Linked DNA regions of Oryctolagus cuniculus. The protein of the gene in region 2 interacts with the protein of the main gene of each other region in a biochemical or structural test. Links are inferred from orthologs where the notes say so. Each region holds a gene or a part of one and is shown on either strand. Other genes may lie near its edges.

What was found.
Region 1: the proteins of PPP2R1B (region 2) and PPP2R2A form a complex in vitro, tested with the Homo sapiens proteins (2 studies listed by BioGRID). The link is inferred for Oryctolagus cuniculus from reciprocal best matches to the Homo sapiens genes PPP2R1B and PPP2R2A.

The regions. Positions count from the first base shown.
Region 1 is NC_091433.1:47,879,920-47,883,732, forward strand, and holds part of PPP2R2A (serine/threonine-protein phosphatase 2A 55 kDa regulatory subunit B alpha isoform), read right to left. Parts: intron 1,486-3,813; coding exon 1,373-1,485; intron 100-1,372; coding exon 1-99. UniProt on the Homo sapiens protein: Substrate-recognition subunit of protein phosphatase 2A (PP2A) that plays a key role in cell cycle by controlling mitosis entry and exit. Involved in chromosome clustering during late mitosis by mediating dephosphorylation of MKI67.
Region 2 is NC_091432.1:103,721,853-103,726,339, forward strand, and holds the start of PPP2R1B (serine/threonine-protein phosphatase 2A 65 kDa regulatory subunit A beta isoform), read right to left. Parts: upstream 3,033-4,487; 5' UTR 2,989-3,032; coding exon 2,875-2,988; intron 2,094-2,874; coding exon 2,003-2,093; intron 1,591-2,002; coding exon 1,490-1,590; intron 1-1,489. Other genes in the region: alpha-1,2-mannosyltransferase ALG9, read right to left, coding at 3,349-3,538. UniProt on the Homo sapiens protein: The PR65 subunit of protein phosphatase 2A serves as a scaffolding molecule to coordinate the assembly of the catalytic subunit and a variable regulatory B subunit.

The DNA.
Region 1 (3,813 bases), on a different chromosome or scaffold from region 2:
ATTAATAGAAATTGAGTTGATGTGATATGTATGAGCATTGGCAAATATTCTTCGTGGACTGGCCTCGACCATTAGATCCATGGGCCTAAAGACTGGCACCTGTCAATAAGACACATGAAAAATAAATTACAAAAGGTTCACTGCTTCAAATAGCACATAAGGCTCAGAACACTTCATTACTGTAATTTTTGAGAGGACAAAGAATGGTACAATATTACATAGATTAGCTTTAAAAATGAACTGATGATGACTCCTTAAATTGTTCAAATCAGCAGAAAATGAACATATCTTTAATTTTTTTTTAAAGGCAGAGTTAGAGAGAGAGTGATCTTCCATCTGCTGATTCGCTCCCCCCAAATGGCTGCCAACAACCAGGGCTGGGCCAGCCAGAAGACAGGTGACAGGAGCTTCTTCTAGGTCTCTCATGGGGGTGGCAGGGGCCCAAATACTTGGGTCATCTTCTGCTGCTTTTCCCAGGTGCATTAGCAGAAAGCTGGACCAGAAGTGGAGCAGTGGGGACTTGAACCAGCAACAATATGGGATGCCAGCACTGCAGGTGGCAGCTTAAGCTGCTGCACCACGGCCTGGCTCCTGGACAATTTATCTTAAAGTTTATTTACTTTTTAAATTTATTTGAAAGAACAGAGAGAAAATAATAGATATCTTGTTTCTGCTGGTTCACTTTCCAAATGCCTGCAACAGCAAGAGCTGGGCCAGGTTGAAGTCAGGAGTCAAGAATTATATCACCTGCCTACCTGGGTGCAAATTAGCAGGCGGTTGGGTAGGAAGTGGAGGTGAGATTTGATTCATGCACACCAATATGGGGTATGGGCATCCCAAAAAGGAGCTTAACCTGATGTCCCACAATTCACCTTCTTTTACTGGCAGCAATACTATTAGAATTTGCAGTTCTTCTTGGTTCAAAATCATTTGCTTGAGGAAGTACAATGCTAACAAGTACTTACAGTTCACAGCAATTTAAGGCTAAATAGGAAATAATTCCATAGCATTTAATTCTGGACAGTTTTAGCTACAATTGTATAATTTGGCCCATCCCTAGTTTTTGGTCTCCAAATAGAATTAATCTTGAAGCTTAATCTTGTAATAGCTGACATTCCAACTATGAGAGCGGGAGTGTGTAGTGTAAAGCAGCCTTCTGTTTTGAGTTCTAGTCCTGCCCTGGCTACAGTGGGGCCTCTATGTATGTCAATTTTTGTATTTAAATGGGAATTATTCAAAGTCCTACCTGGTTACAGAATTGTTGGTGTAGGTTAACTCTATTTCTATTCAGGTTCTGCTCAGAATCTAAGCCTATATGATAAGAATACAGATCACTATTCATGAAAATTATAACCATTTTTTATATACTTACTCGTAGTGTAGTAACCGTAGTAGGATCTCTATATCTTCCATCTTCCTCTTTCAAGTTATACCCTTCTGGTCTTTTGTCCCTTTCACTAATTTTCCATAATTTTATTGTTTTATCTGGAGAAGAATAAAGAAAGTTCTTAAAAAGTAGTAACAATGATAGAACAAAAACATTTTAAGGCATTTTAAACGCGTGATTTTCATTATTTTTCCAAAAAGGATTTTCTTATAAAATTCCTTAACTGGCTTAATTAGAAGTTTCCTATTACTGGGTGAATAAAAGTAAATACGGGGCCAGCACTGTGGCATAGCAGGTAAAGCTGCCGCCTGCAGTGCCAGCATCCCATATGGGCGCCAGTTCGTGTCCCAGATGCTCCACTTCCAATCCAGCTCTATGCTATGGCCTAGGAAAGCAGTGGAAGATGGCCCAAGTCCTTGGGTCCCTACACCCACATGGGAGGCCCAGAAGAAGCTCCTGGCTCCTGGCTTCAGATCGGCGCAACTCCGGCCATTGCAGCCAATTGAGGAGTGAACCAGCGGATGAAGACCTCTCTCTCTGTCTCTCCTTCTCTCTCTGTGTAACTCTGAGTTTCAAGTAAATAAATAAGTCTTAAAAAAAAATACACATAAAAATACAGTGCAGATATCACAAATTTAAACATTAATGGTACTCTTTGTAATACTCAAATCAAATTACAGCCATATCTCGCTTCTTTATCTACATACATATGCTTATTCAATTGTTTATATTACCCTAGACACATATGCATTTAGTTAATACTGTGTGATACTAAAATTGCATCTTACATAAAATCATTACATTCCAATCTTTCACAAGTAAGAAGGTCTAACAATTTTAGTCATCTTATAAAGTAGTTCAAAGCAACTCAAGATACCAGTGACCCCTTATGTCTGGCTATCTCTCTCTTACAGAAGAACACGAGTTATTTCAATGGATACCTTTCTGAAATATGAAGCTCTAAACCCAGTAAGATTCCTAACTCTTGCAACTTGTAATCTATTATTTTTTCCTAAACCCTATGTAATGATGTGTGTAATATTCCAGCAGTTAAGTGATGCATCCCCTAGCTGTTTTGTGTCTTGTTTAAATTCATCACTTCTATTAAGGATTAGATAAATAAATCACAATATTTCAAATTGTGACCAAACTTTCAAATAAGACAATTTTAGTTTGAGGTTCCTAATAGTGTAATGCTGGAAGAACTCTTTTTTAAATTCCTGAAAAATTGGACATTAAAACACATTAAACCAAAAACAAAATATTTTGATAAATTTTGAGGCTCAGGAGGATAAAGACTTTTTTCAAGAGTATAAACATAGGATACAGAAGTACGATGACAGTACATCATTTCAGTGCAGTACCTTGAAGACAAGGCAGATTAGAAACAAATTAGTAATTTAATAAATGACAAAAATTTCGAAATCCTTATGTTCTACAGAGGTTTTCTGTTTTGTTTTGTTTTAACCTGAAGCTTTTGGTCCTTAGGACGAGGTAAATGAAAATAATCAAAGTACATAAAATTGTACACAAGACTATGTAAATATATACTGTTTTTATGGTTTATTTATTTGAAAGTCAGAGTTACATAGAGAGAGAGGAGAGGCAGAGGCAGAGGCAGGGACAGAGGGATGGAGGGAGGGAAGGAGGGAAGGGGGGGGGGGTCTTCCATCTGCTGGTTCACTCCCCAGTTGGCCACAATGGCCGGAGCTGCGCCGATTTGAAGCCAGGAGCTAGGAGCTTCCTGCAGGTCTCCCATGTGGATGCAGGGGCCCTAGGGCTTAGGGCATCTTCCACTGCTTTCCCAGGCCACAGCAGAGAGCCGGATCAGAAGTGGAACAGCTGGGACCCAAACCAATGCCCATATGGGATGCTGGCACTATAGGCGGTGGCCTTACCCGGTACACCACAGCGCCAGCCTCATATATACACTTTTCAGGGCAAGGGATTATTAGACTCTCAATGAGATCTCTTCCTTCCAAACTTGTTGCTCTGTGCTATTTCCCTGTATTTTCAACACTAATAGCTCAGCTCAAGTGTTCCACAAGTCCACATGTTCCTTTGTCTTTCTGACTCCAGCATAAAGTTGTAACAGAGAAAACAATGTTACCAAAGTCTCTCTTGTGGGAATGCAGATTTACATAAGACCTAAACAACTATTTTATCAACAAGCTGCTAAAACCAACAATTTATTAAGAAACTGTAATATTCATGTATTCAGAACTCACGGTCAACAGGTTAGTTTGACATTTTTTTTTAATGTGGATGAATTAGCAAAAATCCAGAGAAAGGCAAAAGATTAAAAAGAATAAAAACATTTCAGAACTGATGATGTAAAAAATGTGACTATGAAGTCACATAATAAAAAAATTTGAATAAAAAAATCTGAGAAGCTGTAGTTTATAATGATCACCGGAAGTTAGTGT
Region 2 (4,487 bases):
TGAAAGGTACATTTTGAGGAAAAAACTAAGTTCTGTTTTAGGGCTGGTGCTGTGGCATACTACATAAAGTCAACAGCTGCAGTGCCAGCATCCCATATGGAATGCTGCTGCAATTCTGATCAAGCTCCCTATTAATGAGCCTGGGAAAGCAGTGGAAGATGGTCCAAGTCTTTGGGCCCCTGCACCCATGTGGGAGACCTGGAAGAAGCTCCTGGCTCCTGGCTTCGCATCAGCCCAGCTCCAGCCATTGCAATCATTTGGGGAGTGAACCAGCAGGTAGAAGATCTCTGTCTCTCTAAGTCTTTCTCTCTTCTATGTAACTCTGCCTTTCAAATAAATATATCTTAAAAAATTCAAATACCTGTTTGACATCTAAATAGGAACATTACAGAAAGATACACACTTTCAGTGATAACTAGGTACAGTATATATCTAAATCCATATCTGTCAACTTGTGGGGTTCCATAAAGTTCAGAAGTAGACAGAAAGAGTAAGCATCAGACAGTAAAGTCCTGAAACATGTATCATATATCATATCTGTCTTGTCCAACTGTTGAAATCCTAGTCTTTTTAAGACTTATTTTATTTATTCAAAAGGTAGACAGAGATCGAGGTGGAGATCTAGATCTTACACCTGCTGGTTCACTCTCTCCCAATGGCTGGGGCTGGGTCAGGCAGAAGCCAGGAGCCTGGATCTCCCTCAGGGTCTTCGATGTGAGCAGCAGGGGTTCAAGTGCTTGGGCCATCATTCACTGCTTTGCCAGGCACACTAGCAAGGAGCTGGATGGGACTTGAAACAGCACTTGCTCATATGGGATCCTAGCTGATATCACAGCTGGTGGTTTAAACCACTGCACACGCTGCCCTACTCCCTTTGTAACCCAATCATTTCTTAAAACAGTTCAGACATCAACTGTTAAGAAGTCTCCCCTAATCACCTTAATTCTTTTCTCCTCTCTTATTTGGGTATCTTAAATGTGCTTATGTTTCCCCATTGAAGATTGTACCCTAATATTTGTGACCAAAAACAAAGATCTCATTACATTTGTTTGGCTTTCTTTGACATTAACATTGTAACTTACAATATGCCTCATATAGCAGGCCCTCAATAAATGTCAACTGACCAAAATCACAGTGTAAGTCAGAAGCAAAAGTTACACTATAAAGACAAAATATTGCTGGATGAAAAACAAGACTTCCAATTTTACTGGGGGGGAGGGGACCCATAAAAATAACCAAATCTTTTTTCTCTTTAAATTAGTAAGTCTATGGAGGCAGAAAAATAAAGAACTTCTATTCATAGAAAATAATAAGACAGGGTTGAATCCAAAGTGCTTACATTATATATTCTCTCAATGGCTAACACTATGAGCATCTATCCATAAAATGAGCTGCCTAAAATATACTGCTGTTATGCCTATCACCAAACAATGTATCATTTATACTGCAAAGGTTCTAGAAGGAGGGTAGGCAGCATAGAAATACTCACCAGCAGACAGTGGGCAAAGTCTGGACCTCCCACCAGGCCAGTGAAATTTCCCAACTGCTCAGCAAGAGCTAACAGTACCTCATCTTCATCATAAATTGTATCTGAAAAGGACAACAACCAGGTACTCACCAACAAGGTAACTGGCCAAGAGCTGGACACTCACATAAAACTAGCAATAGATTCAATATGTAAATAGTAAAAACATCCAGTCCCAATCCTAACAGTATTTTCTCCTCAATGAACAGTTTTCCTGGATCTGATTTACAGAATGAACTAGAAATTCATACCTTCATATCAGTGACTTCCCCATTAGCTATACACAGTTAATGTTTGTACGTATCTGGCCACAACATTACCATATGTGTTGTTGAATTTCTTTTGCACAGAAAATACCAGCCTCAATTTGGTGCTTTTTGATACTGTGGACAACAAACTCTGAAAAACAGCCAAAGCTCTGAAAGCCATTGGTAAATGGAAATGTCCGTGCCTTTCTTGAAACACAGACTCACACACCTGTAAGGAATGGCAGCAGTTCAGTTCTTGTCCTTTCTACTCCAAGTGCTAGAGCAATTGTTGATAACTTCTTAATACTGTTGAGTCGGAGCTTTACAGGAGAAAATGGAAAGAACAAAATAAAAAATGATTGCAATGTAGACCAAAAGGCAACAGGAGCAAACAGGTGAACTAACTAACAGGTCTAGGAATAAGGATAATCTTTCATTTACACTTCATTGGTAAGGAACAGTAATGTAACACAGCCTTATTAGCCAGAGGGAGGATTCCTAGGCCAAACTCTCTACAAGGGCCCGAAGAGAAAGGAATGAAAGAAAATACTCAGCAAGCGGGACAATGTTAAAAAGCCAGAACTCCGGCAGCGACGAAGCAGGTGAGACGGCTGAATACAACCTACACCGAAGCAGACACACCGCCTCACTTAGGTTCCTCAGCCAGGCCACCCGCTTTCTACCCAACAGGCCCAGCCAGTTTCCAGGCCCAGGGGAAGAGGCTGGGCTGCACCTCAAAGGGCCCTCTGGCATCCTGCGACCCGCAGGCCGCCCAGCTCCCACGCGGCCCGGCCCTGCGCCCCTCCCGAGGGCTCGCACGCTGGGCCCGCAACGGGGCGCCCAGGCGGGAAGCCGGCTTTCCGACAACAGCCCGGGACGGTCGGAAGCCCGACGGAGGGGTGCTGGAGAGGCCCCGCGGTGGGCCGGGGCTCGGCGCCACAGCCCCTCGCGAGTCTTTCCAGCTTCCCCTTCGAGTTTCTGCTCCGCGTCCGGCTCTTTCAACCTCCCGGCCTCCCTCACAGCGGCTCCGGGCTTCCCCCTTCCCTACCCTGAGCGACGCCGGACCAACCCGCCACGGCTCTCCCCGCCCCAGTCCGGTACCTGCACGTCCTCGTTGCGGAGTTCGTCGATTAAAACCGCGATCGGATATAGCGAATCGTCTCCATCTCCGCCCGCAGCCCCCGGGCCGGTACCGGGCCCCGCCGCGCCCGCCATGTTCTTTCTCCTCCGGATGGTCGCCGCCGCCAGCCCCCGCCCCGCGCCCCGCCCCGCGCCCGCGCCACGCCCCGCGCCACGCCCCGAGCCCCGCCCCGCGCCCGGGCGGGCGGGGCTGAGGCCTCGGCGCGGGCTCCGCGGAGGTGGGAGCACCGAGCCTCTGCCCCGCCGATGGAGGCTCCCGCCCGACCCCCATTGCAGGAGGCGGAGGTCCGAACTCCAGAAGAAAGGTGGGCTGTGAAAGCGAACGGAAGCCCAGTGTCCTTTCCTCAGCCGAAAGAAACAGGGGCAGGGATTCATCCTGCTCGTTGTGGTCTGAAGGAGGCAGGTACCTCCGTGAGCGATCAGTGTTGTGCTCTATTAGGACTCAGGCCGGCCAAAAAGGGTGTCCGAGGCCAGGAGGAAGAAGGTTTTAGCGCCTCCCCTGCCTTCATCCTGGCCCTGAGCCACTGGGTCTCCAGGCTTCATCTCTGCACTCAGGATCAAGCTTCCACAGAACCCCTCCACCTCTTCTTGAGCCTGCTCGCCAGAGTTGTATCTGGCTCCTACTCTGTAAGACAAATAACGCGGGCGGCGAGAGAAAATGAACAGTGCTGTCCAAACTCCCCAGTCAATATTTTTTCCACGCAAGCTGTTAAAAACATGCTGCTCTCTTGTTTTTATGTTTCTTTTCAGTTTGGTACTGGAATGGTGCCTTCTGTTGTATTTTCTTCCTCCCATTTTTTAGCTCTTTAGCATGCAAGAAGTACAACAATCAAGCAAAACTAGGACAAGCTCTAATCCTTGCAAACTGCGTGGAGTGGCTCCTGTGCTCCTTGCAAGACAGCCTGACGTGGCCTCCCCAGACCCGAGTGTCCTCAAAGGCGGCCCTGGGGGAACGTGGGGGTCTGGGAGTTTTTCCCTGCAGAAATTCAAGGGAAGGTTTTCATTTACCCGTGTTAGGGCAACACAGAATACCTAGATGTCCTGTCCCTGCTTTTGACTGGAATTCAAGTAATAACTACATAGGAGGACTACAAGCTCTGATATTTTTCTGTCTTATTAATAAATACGATTTTGAGCCGGCACCGCGGCTCACTAGGCAAATCCTCCACCTTGCAGCGCCGGCACACCGGGTTCTAGTCCCGGTCGGGGTGCCGGATTCTGTCCCGGTTGCCCCTCTTCCAGGCCAGCTCTCTGCTGTGGCCAGGGAGTGCAGTGGAGGATGGCCCAAGTGCTTGGGCCCTGCACCCCATGGGAGACCAGGAGAAGCACCTGGCTCCTGCCATCGGATCAGCGCGGTGCGCTGGCCGCAGCGCGCAGGCCGCGGCGGCCATTGGAGGGTGAACCAACGGCAAAGGGAGACCTTTCTCTTTGTCTCTCTCTCTCACTGTCCACTCTGCCTGTCAAAAAAAGAAAAAAGAAAAAAAAAGAAATGCGATTTTGGAGACAAATGTTGACTAAAAAAACACGGGATTCCCAAATGTAAACACAGTGAGTACAGCTTTTGATAGCAATGC